Linked DNA regions of Caenorhabditis elegans. The protein of the gene in region 2 interacts with the protein of the main gene of each other region in a biochemical or structural test. Each region holds a gene or a part of one and is shown on either strand. Other genes may lie near its edges.

Region 1 (8,823 bases), on a different chromosome or scaffold from region 2:
AAATTGTTGGAATTGATACGGCTGATCCATCATTGGGACCGATTTTCCGTATTCCGGTTACTGTAATCAATCCTGAGAAGGTAGCGGTTGATCAATACACTTCTAGACTTGTTGGTAAATCGGGAGTCACCGAAAGACGATTTGTCGAAGTACCGTCGTGGGCAACCAGTGCAAGTAAGTAAAAAATGAAAATTAAAGAAAATTCTATTAATCTCATCATTTTACAGAGATAACACTCCGATCTACTAACAAAGACGAAATGGATAGATTTACACTTCATACGGTCTACATTGAGGATGATAAATGTTCCCGAAACACAGAAACTCAAAAAATACAGGGTCCAATTGGAAATGAATGGAGCAAGTCGATTACTGTTCAAGGTGGAAAGACTCTTGAAGCATGTGTTGTTCGTGCTTGGTCACGTGGAAAGAATCCTGTGGATGTTGACATGACCATCGACTTCTTTGGAGTCAAAAAGCCAACTTCTATTTCACTGATTCATGGAGCAACTAACACGCCCATTCGCTTCCAAGCTGCTCCAACGAAAAGTATCGACGTTTCTCCTTCGATTTCTCTAAAATCACTTGTTGTATCACTGAAACCACAATCTGCCAAAGTAGAACCATTGGGACCACGTGATATGTTCCTTACGTCTGGACTTCAAATCAATCGTCTTCTGTTGACTTATCAGCTTAAAGGTAACCTTTTTTAACTACATAATTATTAAAATATTATTTTTTCAGTTCAAAAACCAAGTGAAGTGCAACTTCAACTTGCTGGCCTTACTCCATATTTGTATGAATCTCCTGTGGACTGTGTACTCTTCCAAATTTTCGGAGCAAACAAGTCGTTTGTGGGTGCTTCTTCTTCGTACCCGGATCGTTGGACTCAGAAGCTTGAGAAAGGAGATTATACTATTCAGGCTCAGATTAGATATCCGGATGATCAAGTTTTGCAAGGAATGAAGGAACTTCCTCTGCTGTAAGTAATTCTTTAAATTCTAACTGAAATGATTTTTGTGTTTCAGTGTTCATGTGAAACTTGGAAACAAAATTTCTGTTGACCTCGCAGCTTCTGCCAGCGATGCAACACTTGGAAAAGAGTGCAAATTTGCTGGAAAAGCCCTTCTTCCAAATCAAGAAATGACCGTCTACGCTATGAATATCGCTGATGATAAATTGCCAAAGACTATCGTACCAACAAGTGGAAGTTTCCTTGCTGGAACATTTAGTGCTCTCAAGGATTCTGATTTGAGTGATGTAGACAAATCTGAAGTTATTTACTTTCTCAGTGAGTACTCTACTCGTCCTACGAAAGGATTGTCAATGGTTACAACAAAGAAAGATACGAATCAAAATCAGGAAATGACTGGTAGATAATAATTAAAAATTGTATCTTTTATTAAATTCATATTTACAGACGCCATTCGCGATTTGGAAGTATCATGGGTGCAAAAATTGACAGACGAAAAGGCAGCGAAAGAATTTTTCGAAGCTTGTCTGCAGAAGTATCCAGATCATCTCCCACTACTTCAGAATCGAGTAAAGCAATTGATGCAAGCAAAACTTGTGGATCAAACACCGGAAAACGTGCAGAAGATTATTGAATTATGTGGTCAAATTTTGCAAATCACAAAACCGAATGAAACTCTTCAGTTCTCATCCGTCAAGCAAGAACATGATGATGATCTCCTTACTGTTGACAAATGGCTGGCACTAACCGGAGGCAGTGAGGACCAGCGAAAGGATGTGGTGAAGTTGATTTCACAATTTGAGGAACGGAAGAAAAGTATTATTCTCGCTTTGCAAGCTCTTTCATCATTGGAGCAGGATATTGAAGTTCGTAAGAGCAAGTTCGACGTTCCAGCAAGTCTTCGTTTCGGAGGAATCACTCCTCTAATTTTCGGTGGAAAGCAAGGAGAAGTGATCAATAAGAAGTCTGAAGGTTATGAAGCACTGAAATCAAAATCTGAACAAATTGATGCAACTGTCTCTGAAGAACTGAAAAAGTTGGATAGTAATTGGACTGGAAATCAGTTTTACGTCAAGCTTCTCGTTTGGTTGTCTGCTGATGATACTAAAACTGCACTGATCTCTGCCAAACATGCAGCTGCTCTTGGACAATTTGGAAGATGTGCAAAGCTTCTCAACAAAGCTGGAGATGAACTGAAGTCGTCTGCTACTGATTCGCAAGCTGTTGATACATCATTGGCTGAAGTCTGCGAAAGTCTCGAGTGGAATCATCTTGCTACTCACTTTAAAAATTCGGCTCTGATCAAAAACAGAACCTCCTACCGTCTTTTCTAATTAGTGTATCATAAGAAATTTCGCGGGTTTCTTTTTTCTGGAAGCTTTTTTGCTTCCATTTCCGTTGTGAATCAAATGATTTTCCCATTTGAATAGATAAACTTTTATTGTTTTATAAATGAGATCAAACAAAAATTTTGCAGAGATACATTAAAATTATTAAGAAGAAGAATGTTCGAGGTTGCGACGAATTGATGCATGGCATGTACTCACAGAAGTTCCACCCAGTCATGTGGGTGAGAATCTTCTGATATTGGCAGTATGATTTGACAGCACTATTTCCACATGATTTTCTCACTACTGCTCGCTCACATTGTGTGGTTCGTGATACGGAGCTCAAAATTAAAAACTAATCTCAATAAGTCTGAAACTATTAGACTCACTCGCAACTGCCAACTTCCAAAACGGAACATTCAGTATAAATCGTGTCAGAGAGATCATTCAAACTGATTGCTTGCATACATTCATAATATGCCACAACTGAAATATTTATAAAACAATGAACGAGAATGAAAAACCTCACAATCATTTCCATAATTACAATAGAATTCAAGAAACCCCGTTTGTGAGATGTAATAAGCTGCATTGCTTTCTGAACCAAAAATTGCATTGAAAGTGTTATAGTTGAGACAATCATTGATGACGTCACTATGACAGTGACGTAGAGTTGTATATGTACTGTAATTATTCGTCTTTTTTAAAAATATTTATTCTAGCATGTAAAACCGGTTCTATTGAAATTCTTCAATAATTTTACAATTTAAAAGGTGTTGCAATGTTGTAATACCTTCACATACCTACACATTCCAGTGGCATCGTACCGAATTTTCTTAAATGGATCTTCGTCTGCTGGGGGAAGGCTAGTCACATTTGAACCATATGATTGAAACATATCTATATAACATTGTTGTAGCACTTGATCTTGATCAGAACTGCAGTTATGCAGCACTCCTTCGTTTCCCGCTACGGTTTGCTTCACTAGACCTGCTAAATCAACTTCGAGTGTCTCTAGCGATTTAGTAACGATCGTAACCACAACAACGAGAATATTCCAAATCATCAAATATAGGGAAAGAAAATTTTGTGTTTCGAGCAATTTAAAGTGTTTAGTCTGAAACAGAATAGCTCGTAAAATGTCGTCACCGTCAGTCGACCGGTTTATAGCTTTTCGGGAGGTTGAAATGTGTTTATCAATTTGATATGTTACGGTCCCGGAATTTTCCAAAAATTTTTATTGTTTCTAGTAATCATTAGTAATCAAATTGATAATTATTTTAAATACACTTTTTAATTCTTGAAACATGTGATTAGAATCTCGCATTATTTGAAAATTTCAATTTGGTTACGGTAGACAATGACAAAGTACGCAAACACCAGAGTATGTGACACACTTTCGTCATTTGCGAATTCGATTTTAAATATTATTTTCATATTCCCATTCCTATTTTCTGTGAATTGATAATTTTTCTATGAGTAATCATTCTAATAAAATTATCAACTAATCGACATGGACCAATCAAAGATGCGCAGAACGAATCAGTTCAGAAAAGTAAGTTTTCAGTAACTTCTAAAGAAACAAATGGCCTAAGTTTTACAGACTTCCCAGAAGCCTCCTTCTACAGGGATTGACAGTTATCCGACTCCCGCACAATCACCAATGGCGCAGCATGAGACACCTATGTGGGACTTCAACTCTCTCAACCCGTATTTCTCAATGCTCAATATGAACGATGGGATTAATTATGCTCGCCATCAACAGAATCACATTGTTACATCGCGGCCACCAACCCCGCTAACTGATTTGATGAGCCTTCGGAGTTTTCAGAGCTTTGTAAGTTAGAGTAGGCAATTTTTGGTTGTTTTCATTACTGATTTGCAGCCCAATGTGTTCATGCCGGTCTCGCGTAGCCGAACTTCATCATTCATTCAGTCTGATACGGATTCCTCGCGTCTCGAGTCGGATGATTTTTCACAAAATGTCCGATGTTTCTCTGCGGATATTGATCGTAGCAAGAGCTATGGTTCTTCAAAACACTACCATTTGAAATATTCGAGGTTCGAATTAATTTATCACTATCCTCTAGTATTTATTCTTTTTTATTTATAGACCCGCTCTGTCGAGGAACTCTAGATCATTCACAAGATCAAACAATGTGCTGCCAACCTGGTCCTTGGATTCCAATGGTGAAATGCGTTCAAGATTGTCGCTCTCTGAAGTTTTGGATAGTGGCGATTTAATGAAGTTTGCCGTTGACAAAACTGGGTGCCAGTTCCTAGAAAAGGCAGTGAAGGGCAGCCTGACATCTTATCAGAAGTTCCAATTGTTTGAACAAGTTATTGGGAGAAAAGATGATTTCCTTGTAAGTTTTAGTTTCTGCGAGCACACATGACTTTTCTTTTCAGAAATTGAGCACGAACATCTTTGGAAATTATTTGGTACAAAGCGTTATTGGAATTTCATTGGCAACTAATGATGACGGATACACAAAGCGACAAGAAAAGTTGAAGAACTTCATCAGTTCCCAAATGACAGATATGTGCTTGGACAAATTTGCGTGTCGTGTTATCCAATCCAGTCTCCAGAACATGGATTTATCCCTTGCGTGTAAACTTGTTCAAGCTCTACCTCGTGATGCTCGTCTTATCGCAATCTGTGTTGATCAAAATGCCAATCACGTCATTCAGAAAGTCGTAGCAGTCATCCCACTGAAGAATTGGGAGTTTATTGTGGATTTCGTTGCCACCCCAGAGCACCTCCGTCAGATTTGTTCTGATAAGTATGGGTGCCGTGTTGTGCAAACTATTATCGAAAAGCTCACTGCTGATTCAATGAACGTTGATTTAACTTCCGCTGCTCAAAATCTTCGTGAACGAGCGCTCCAACGACTCATGACTTCTGTGACTAATCGGTGCCAAGAATTAGCTACGAACGAGTATGCCAATTACATAATACAGCATATTGTATCCAATGATGATCTGGCCGTTTATCGGGAATGTATCATAGAGAAATGCCTCATGTGAGTGTTATTGTTTAATATCTACTTGATTTTTAATCATCAATATTTCAGGCGCAACCTTCTTTCGTTGTCCCAGGAAAAGTTTGCTTCTCATGTTGTTGAGAAAGCATTCCTACATGCACCATTGGAACTTCTTGCCGAAATGATGGACGAGATTTTCGACGGATACATTCCACATCCGTAAAAACATTAGTTTCAGTCACATAAAAATGAAATGTTTTTTCAGGGACACGGGAAAAGATGCCCTCGATATCATGATGTTCCATCAATTCGGAAACTACGTCGTTCAATGCATGCTGACTATTTGCTGTGATGCTGTGTCTGGAAGACGGCAAACGAAAGAAGGAGGCTATGACCATGCAATCTCATTCCAGGATTGGCTGAAAAAGTTGCACTCGAGAGTTACGAAAGAAAGGCATCGCTTGTCAAGGTTATCACTATTGTCACAATAATATTTTGAAATTCGAAATTCAGGTTCTCATCCGGCAAAAAGATGATCGAGACGCTTGCCAATCTCCGTTCAACTCATCCGATTTATGAACTCCAATCTTCGGGACACGATTCATTCAAGACGGATTACTTCAGTACTGCTTCCGAGCACGATGGTCCGGAGTTGGAGAAGAATGGGATCGAGGAAGGAAGCCTGATGCTAGAGCCACGGAGCAATAAGTCTTCAGTCTCTGTCAAATTTTCTTCTTCCGGTAGTCACGGCGATGATTAAGGTGGAACTTTCTCACCATAAATCTCATCCCACCCACTTATGTTCTGTTGTTTTGTAATATTTTAAACTGGTGCAATGATTTCGTTTCGATTTTAAGATCGATGTTGTGCCTTCCCCACTCTTATCATTGCCCAGTTTTGTTTTTTCTTTTCTTTTTTGTTATTTTATTGCTTTTTATGCAGTTGTGTTATTGTTTCTTTCTGTTTACTGTTCATTGTTTTTGTTAATTTTTTATTTTCGATTTTAATGAATCCAGATAAAATTAGACAACTTGGCAAAATATCGTTCGAGTCTTTGTCATGCTTCCACCGAGAGCTTCCTGCTTCCATACAATGCCTGCTCAGAAAACAATTTTGAAAGCGAAGAGAAAAGTTGTTCTTTGCTCGGAGAACAAAAAACTGATAACCGACAAATGTTGACTTTGTAAATTTAATCAAATTAGAAACCATGAAGAATAAATATAGTTCAATTATCATATTGAAATTTATCTTACAATTGCATCGATTTCAAAATAATGGGACTCTCAGAAAATAGAAAAACAAAAATTGGATACTGGGGATGAGGAAGAACTCCGCGAACATTGGCGGTCCTTCTCTCATGTGGTCCTCGTATAGGTGGTGGCAATCCTCTCATTGTTATCCAACATCGAGAAAATGTTCTTCGGCTAGAACTCTGAAACAAAAATACTTTCAAATTAAAATTGTCAAGATAAATTCGTACTTCCTGACACAATTTGTGTTGTTGCAGCGTTGAATTCGATTCCAAACCAAGTGGCAAGACCAAGACCCAGCAATGATGATGGAATAGTTGAATTGACAGAATTCCTCGAGCATATCAGCAATGGATGTTGATGCAAGTGGATGCAATGTTCTTCTTTTGTTTCTCATCAACGTTTGCCTTATGATTGTGAAGTGACTTGATGAACTCTCTCTGCCATGCTTAAAGAACTTGTTCAGCAGCAATTTCGTTCCATGCATCAATGTCTAATCCAGCCTTCATAGAGTTTCTTCCAGGCTTCTGCTTGAATCTCAAGAAAACATAGGCGGGGCTTGCAACGAGAAAAACTGATTGAAGAGCATCATCTCCTGATAGTTTTCCTCCCTTCTTGGCACGTCTTGGATCTCCTAGTATCATATCTTCAAGCCAATTAAGAACGTTAGATGCGAAACCAGAACATCCACTGTGTATACATATTCATCACTTCGGACCATTTGTCTTTGTTATCTTTCAACCATTCGAAAACAGACTTCCGGTATTATTTATAATCTGAAACATGACTTTATATTTTAATAGAAAAACGAATTTACTTAAATACAGTCTTTCAATTCTCTGGCTTTTTGCTTTTTCTCTTTTTCTTCTGCAGCTCTGGTTTCCTCCGGTGACAAAGTAGTCGTAGTTGGAATAGGAGCAGTTGTTACTGGAATATTTGCTGGTACTGCATCTTCAACTGCTGGAATCGCATCTACTGGTCTTTATTCTTAATCTTAAATTTTATGGCAAATACTGTTTTACTACTTGATCTTTTACTATGTATCTCTTTTACTACAAGATCTCTTTTACTACGGAATCTCTTTTACTACGAATTCCGCATTTAGATCTTTTACTACAATTGGCTCTTTTACTACGTGATCTCTTTTACTACCATTTGACCACATATATCTTTTACTACGGAAAATACTTTTTTACTACCTCATTTTTTACTACGTGGATCTTTCACTACGGTTTTTTATTCCGATGTTTTGCTACAGTTTGTATCTTTTGCTACGGTAGACATTTTTACTACAATGGCAGGGATTGTACTTTTCACTATGTTTCGTATCTTTTACTACTAATTTTTTACTACGAATTAAAAATTAATGTCTATAGTATTTTATATTCTAGATATAAACAAATGTATGAATTTTTTTTCAAAATACATAGGTCATAATTGTAGATGGAGTTAATGGAGGGAGACTGTTGAGTTACTGTAGTGGTATTGTGGAAATAACAGTTTTCAGATTATATAGTGTTTTTTTTAATTTCTGGAAATTTATTCACTATGAAATGAGCAGAACTTATTATGGCCATTTGGATCTAGAAATTAAAAAAAACACGATATGATCTCTTGCTCTCTTGTAAAACTTTTGTAAAAATTTCAGAAACATTTAAAAAGTCCTCTATAAATGTTTTAAAACTCAGAAGATTTTCTGAAAATGAAAATGTAGGTATCCTATCTCGGTCGTCAATTTATTTGTCATAGTTTTCAACTACAAAGTTGTTGAATATGGTATGATCTACGATTTGTCAGTTGAACATTTTTTTACCAAATTGTTTTTTCGCGGAGATATCGGTACTTGGAGTCAATACGTTTTATGAACTAACTTTTGACAACTTATCTCCGTTTTTTTTTCAAATCTAAAATCGTGATATAAACATTCAAATTGACCGAAAACAATAATAATTTTATACAAGATTCGATAAATTTAGAAAAAAAACATTTCTAAAGTGTTGATCAAAAGTTTCAAAATGTCAGCTGAAGTCAAAATTTTAAACACCTGACAGATAACTGACCGAACCCGCAAGTTTTTTATTACATTATAGACTTATACATATAGACATTATAGACAAAACTTATAGAGCAACGGGTATGGAACTAATTTGTTGGCTATGCGAAAAAAAAAAGAATTACTCCCACAATACCACTACAGTAACCCAACAGTCTCCCTCCATTAACTCCATCTACAATTATGACCTATGTATTTAAAAAAAACTATTCATACATTTGTTTATATCTAGAGTA
Region 2 (3,795 bases):
GTGGGTGGAGACTGTTTTTTTAAACTATCTTTGTTGGGGAAACCTTTTTTTTATTAATTTCGATGGATTTAATTTGCTAAAATATGTGGAAAAATATATACTATAATGGAAAAATATTTCAAACTGCTTTTAGTTAAATTTTTCAAAAACTTTTTGGAACTAATTTTTAATTGATGTCCTAGGCTTCAGCAATCGTAATTTTGGATGTTTACCAAAAATAAATTTTTCTTTGAGTTTTCGAAATTATTAATTAATTTTATAAATTCTAAAATTTCAAACCTGCAGAGATCCATGAAATTTCTCAAAAAGGGAAAAGTTTCGCAAAAAAAATTTGGCAATTTGCCGAAACTCTGACTGAAATTTTTAAACACTCTATACATTTCTTAAGTGTATGTTTAGATTTTAATTTTTTTCATCGATTTAAAGGATTTTTAAAAATTCCTTTTGACAATGATCCATTTTTATTGTTTTTCTATAGTTCAAGACTTAATTTTTTTTAAATTTAGCCCTCTCCCATTTAAAAAATTTTTCATCTTACTAAACCCGTCCAAACCTCGTTTAAATAATGTTAAGATAAATATAAAAATAGGGCAGTAACAATTTGATCTACCTACATATAATTGTTTTTCAAATTTCTTCTGTTTCAAAAACTTCTTGAAACGGGAACATTTTTCCATTGACATTCATTTTTTTTTCCACGTCAAACTCACATATCAAAACAAAACTGTTCTCCTAAATTTGAGCAAATTCCATAGGAAATATAAAATAATTGTTTCCCAGCTGGAATAACTCGTTGTCCAATCAGAAATCCACTAAGACATGCTCCAAAATTAGTGAATGCCATGTTAATAATGACAATTGAGAATGTTCTTATAATAGACGGACTATGAAATATTGCCACGTGGAGGAGGAATAAATTAACACAATATCCTGAAACAGTCACCAACGAGTTGATAATCAGGAAAATTGCGGATAACATTTTTTCTGCGAAATGTTTTCTTGCTCAGCTTGTGGCTTTTATAAAACTTTTTGCTTGCAGTAGCAAGTATTCATGAATATTCTTCTGGAAGATTTAAGGGTCATTGATGAGGTTCAGTATTTTGTAGTATACATTCTAGACTACACCAGATTGATGATATGTTTCTGGAATTGAGCAAAAACCTTTGAACTGGAATGCCAACTTCTCTAAAAGGGATCCACAATGCAACAAGCTGGATAACCAGTCTTTAGGACATTTAAAACTTAAATATCTTATTCCGCCATAATCATTTTTAATACATTTCTCCTATTTATTTGTTCTTCTATGAAATCAAGTCTTCCAATTGTAGTACATCCGCTTGGTGTCGGTTTACGGTAAACAACGCGCACCAACGGAAAGTTGGAGTGTCGTTGTTAGAATAACAACAGATATTTTCTCATTTCAAATTTCAGATTTTTTTTAGTTTTTGTTGGTTTCAATCGATTTAAAAAAATTATAATCTGAGAATTACTTAATTTGTTTCAATTCTTCATGTAAAATCATCTCATTATCATTTTTCATGCCCTTATCGTCTTATTGATTGTATTTCTTAATAATATTAGCAAGGTAATGCTTTTTTCAGACGATGGAAGTTGATAACGTCAAGCCATCCAGCTCAGTTCCGCAGAGAAACTGGGAAAAAGAAAATAACGTCAGTTTTTCTTAAATATTTTTAGATTTTTAATATTATTTGTGTTTCAGGTCCAAAATGTCGATTCGATTTTCGAGTACAACAACAAGCAGCAAGTAGAAATCAGAAATGCAAAACCATGGGATAAAGATCCACATTATTTCAAACAAATCAAAATATCTGCAATTGCTCTTCTGAAAATGACAATGCACGCGAAAAGAGGTGGAAATCTGGAAATTATGGGACTTTTGCAAGGTCGAATCGATGCTAATTCTTTCATTATTCTTGATGTATTCGCTCTTCCAGTTGAGGGTACTGAGACCAGGTGAAATGATTTACGCTGGGAGTAATTTCGAACATTTTAAATTTCCAGAGTCAATGCCCAAGCTCAAGCCTACGAGTACATGACAGTTTATTCTGAAATGTGCGATACGGAAGGTCGAAAGGAGAAAGTCGTCGGATGGTATCATTCTCATCCTGGATATGGATGCTGGCTATCCGGAATCGACGTCTCAACGCAGACACTCAATCAAAAGTTCCAAGAGCCATGGGTTGCTATTGTTATTGATCCATTGAGAACTATGTCTGCCGGAAAGGTTGACATTGGCGCATTCCGTACATATCCAGAAGGATACCGTCCACCAGATGATGTTCCATCAGAGTATCAGTCGATTCCTCTCGCAAAGATTGAGGATTTCGGTGTACATTGCAAACGATACTACTCGCTTGACGTCAGCTTCTTCAAATCACAACTTGGTAGGTGAAATTTATATTTATCGGGAATGAATTACATAATAAAAATACGATAAAGGACAATCAACTGTAAAATCCAATATTCAAAGCTTTGTTTTTTGGATTGTTTAAACTTATTGGAATCGAATAGCTTGAAATTTTAAACTTTTAAAATAAGAATAATAATATTAAACATCTCAACGGGAAATTGGTCTCAATTGAAAAAGAAACATCTCCGATTCTTTCCCGTTTTAATAATTAAAATTCCAGACGCTCACATCTTGACTTCTCTGTGGAACAGCTATTGGATTTCCACTCTCAGCAGTTCTCCACTCTTCTCAAACGTCGAATTCCTCAACAATCAAATTCAAGACATCAATCAGAAGCTGTCGGCCGTCGATAAGAAGCTCCAATTGAATGACAGAAGTGTCGATGGACATGAAGCTTTGATGAAAGTCGTGACCGATGCAAAGGCAGTCGGAGATGAACTTGAAACTGGAAGAATCTCTCATCTCGTGAAACAACTATTGTTTGCTCGCCAAGCTGGTGGTGGCTGTGGATGTTCCCATGCTTCTGCAGGATCTCCAATGGATATCGCCGTGGCAACTGAACCCGAGAAGGCTGGTCCTTCTCCATCTGCTCCGGAGCCCGCTGTTGAGATGGCCGATGCTTAATTCTCGTTTTGTCTATATTTATAAATCAAGTCCCCCTGTTTTCTGTGTTAAATTCACCAACATCATTTTATTTGAATGAAATTTTTGCTTTTCAATGATTGATTTTTTCAAATTTATTTCCATAAATGAGAGATTCAAACGATATATGGACATATATGAAAATGTACAAGAGTAACTGGGAAGGGGAAGTCTGGGGATGGAGGAGGGATACAAGTTCCAAAAATACAAGAAAAAGAATAGATCTGAGAAATTTGAGAAAAATTGAAAATGACAAAAAAGAAGAGGAAATTGATACGATATTACGAGAGATTTGAGGATATAATAGAAATAACTGTAAAGATCATATTTTTCAGGTGTATGGGGGTGAACAGGATGGGGGGGTCGTGTGGTGCACGTATTCTTTCGTCACGAGACCCGTTTCTATCTATTTGTATGATGATTCGGAGATGTAGTCTGAGCTCCGGGCTCAAATGAAAAACTAGGATACTAATGAGAGGCGACAAGGGGATGGGGATCAGATAATAAATTATCAAACTGGGTATGATGAAGAGATGATAAAACTGTTGCAAGATAGGGGTTGCTCACTTTGTGGGGATTGAAGTGGGTGAGGTATTTCACTGGGAAATCAAAGAATCCGAAGGGAGGAAAGAGTAGATCAAAATGAAATGAGACACGGCAAAGAAGAAAAAAACGATTATTGTGGCGGAATTAATTATCTTTAATTATGTGGCTTTAATAAG

Evidence for each region. Proteins that work in one complex are often made in the same cells at the same time.
Region 1: the proteins of csn-5 (region 2) and fbf-2 form a complex in vitro, tested with the Caenorhabditis elegans proteins (one study listed by BioGRID).

Annotation. Positions count from the first base shown.
Region 1 is NC_003280.10:6,086,363-6,095,185, reverse strand, and holds fbf-2 (Fem-3 mRNA-binding factor 2), read left to right. Parts: upstream 1-3,705; 5' UTR 3,706-3,813; coding exon 3,814-3,855; intron 3,856-3,903; coding exon 3,904-4,137; intron 4,138-4,185; coding exon 4,186-4,361; intron 4,362-4,413; coding exon 4,414-4,666; intron 4,667-4,709; coding exon 4,710-5,323; intron 5,324-5,374; coding exon 5,375-5,503; intron 5,504-5,549; coding exon 5,550-5,753; intron 5,754-5,797; coding exon 5,798-6,044; 3' UTR 6,045-6,323; downstream 6,324-8,823. Other genes in the region: tpp-2 (Tripeptidyl-peptidase 2), read left to right, coding at 1-174, 228-698, 744-981, 1,028-1,371, 1,420-2,306; nspg-3 (DUF19 domain-containing protein), read right to left, coding at 2,431-2,641, 2,690-2,786, 2,830-2,984, 3,104-3,366. UniProt on the Caenorhabditis elegans protein: RNA-binding protein that binds to the consensus sequence 5'-UGUGCCAUA-3' in mRNA 3'-UTRs. Involved in the control of stem cells and sex determination in the C.elegans hermaphrodite germline.
Region 2 is NC_003282.8:5,647,932-5,651,726, forward strand, and holds csn-5 (COP9 signalosome complex subunit 5), read left to right. Parts: upstream 1-1,601; 5' UTR 1,602-1,604; coding exon 1,605-1,670; intron 1,671-1,720; coding exon 1,721-1,974; intron 1,975-2,022; coding exon 2,023-2,405; intron 2,406-2,651; coding exon 2,652-3,055; 3' UTR 3,056-3,148; downstream 3,149-3,795. UniProt on the Caenorhabditis elegans protein: Probable protease subunit of the COP9 signalosome complex (CSN), a complex involved in various cellular and developmental processes.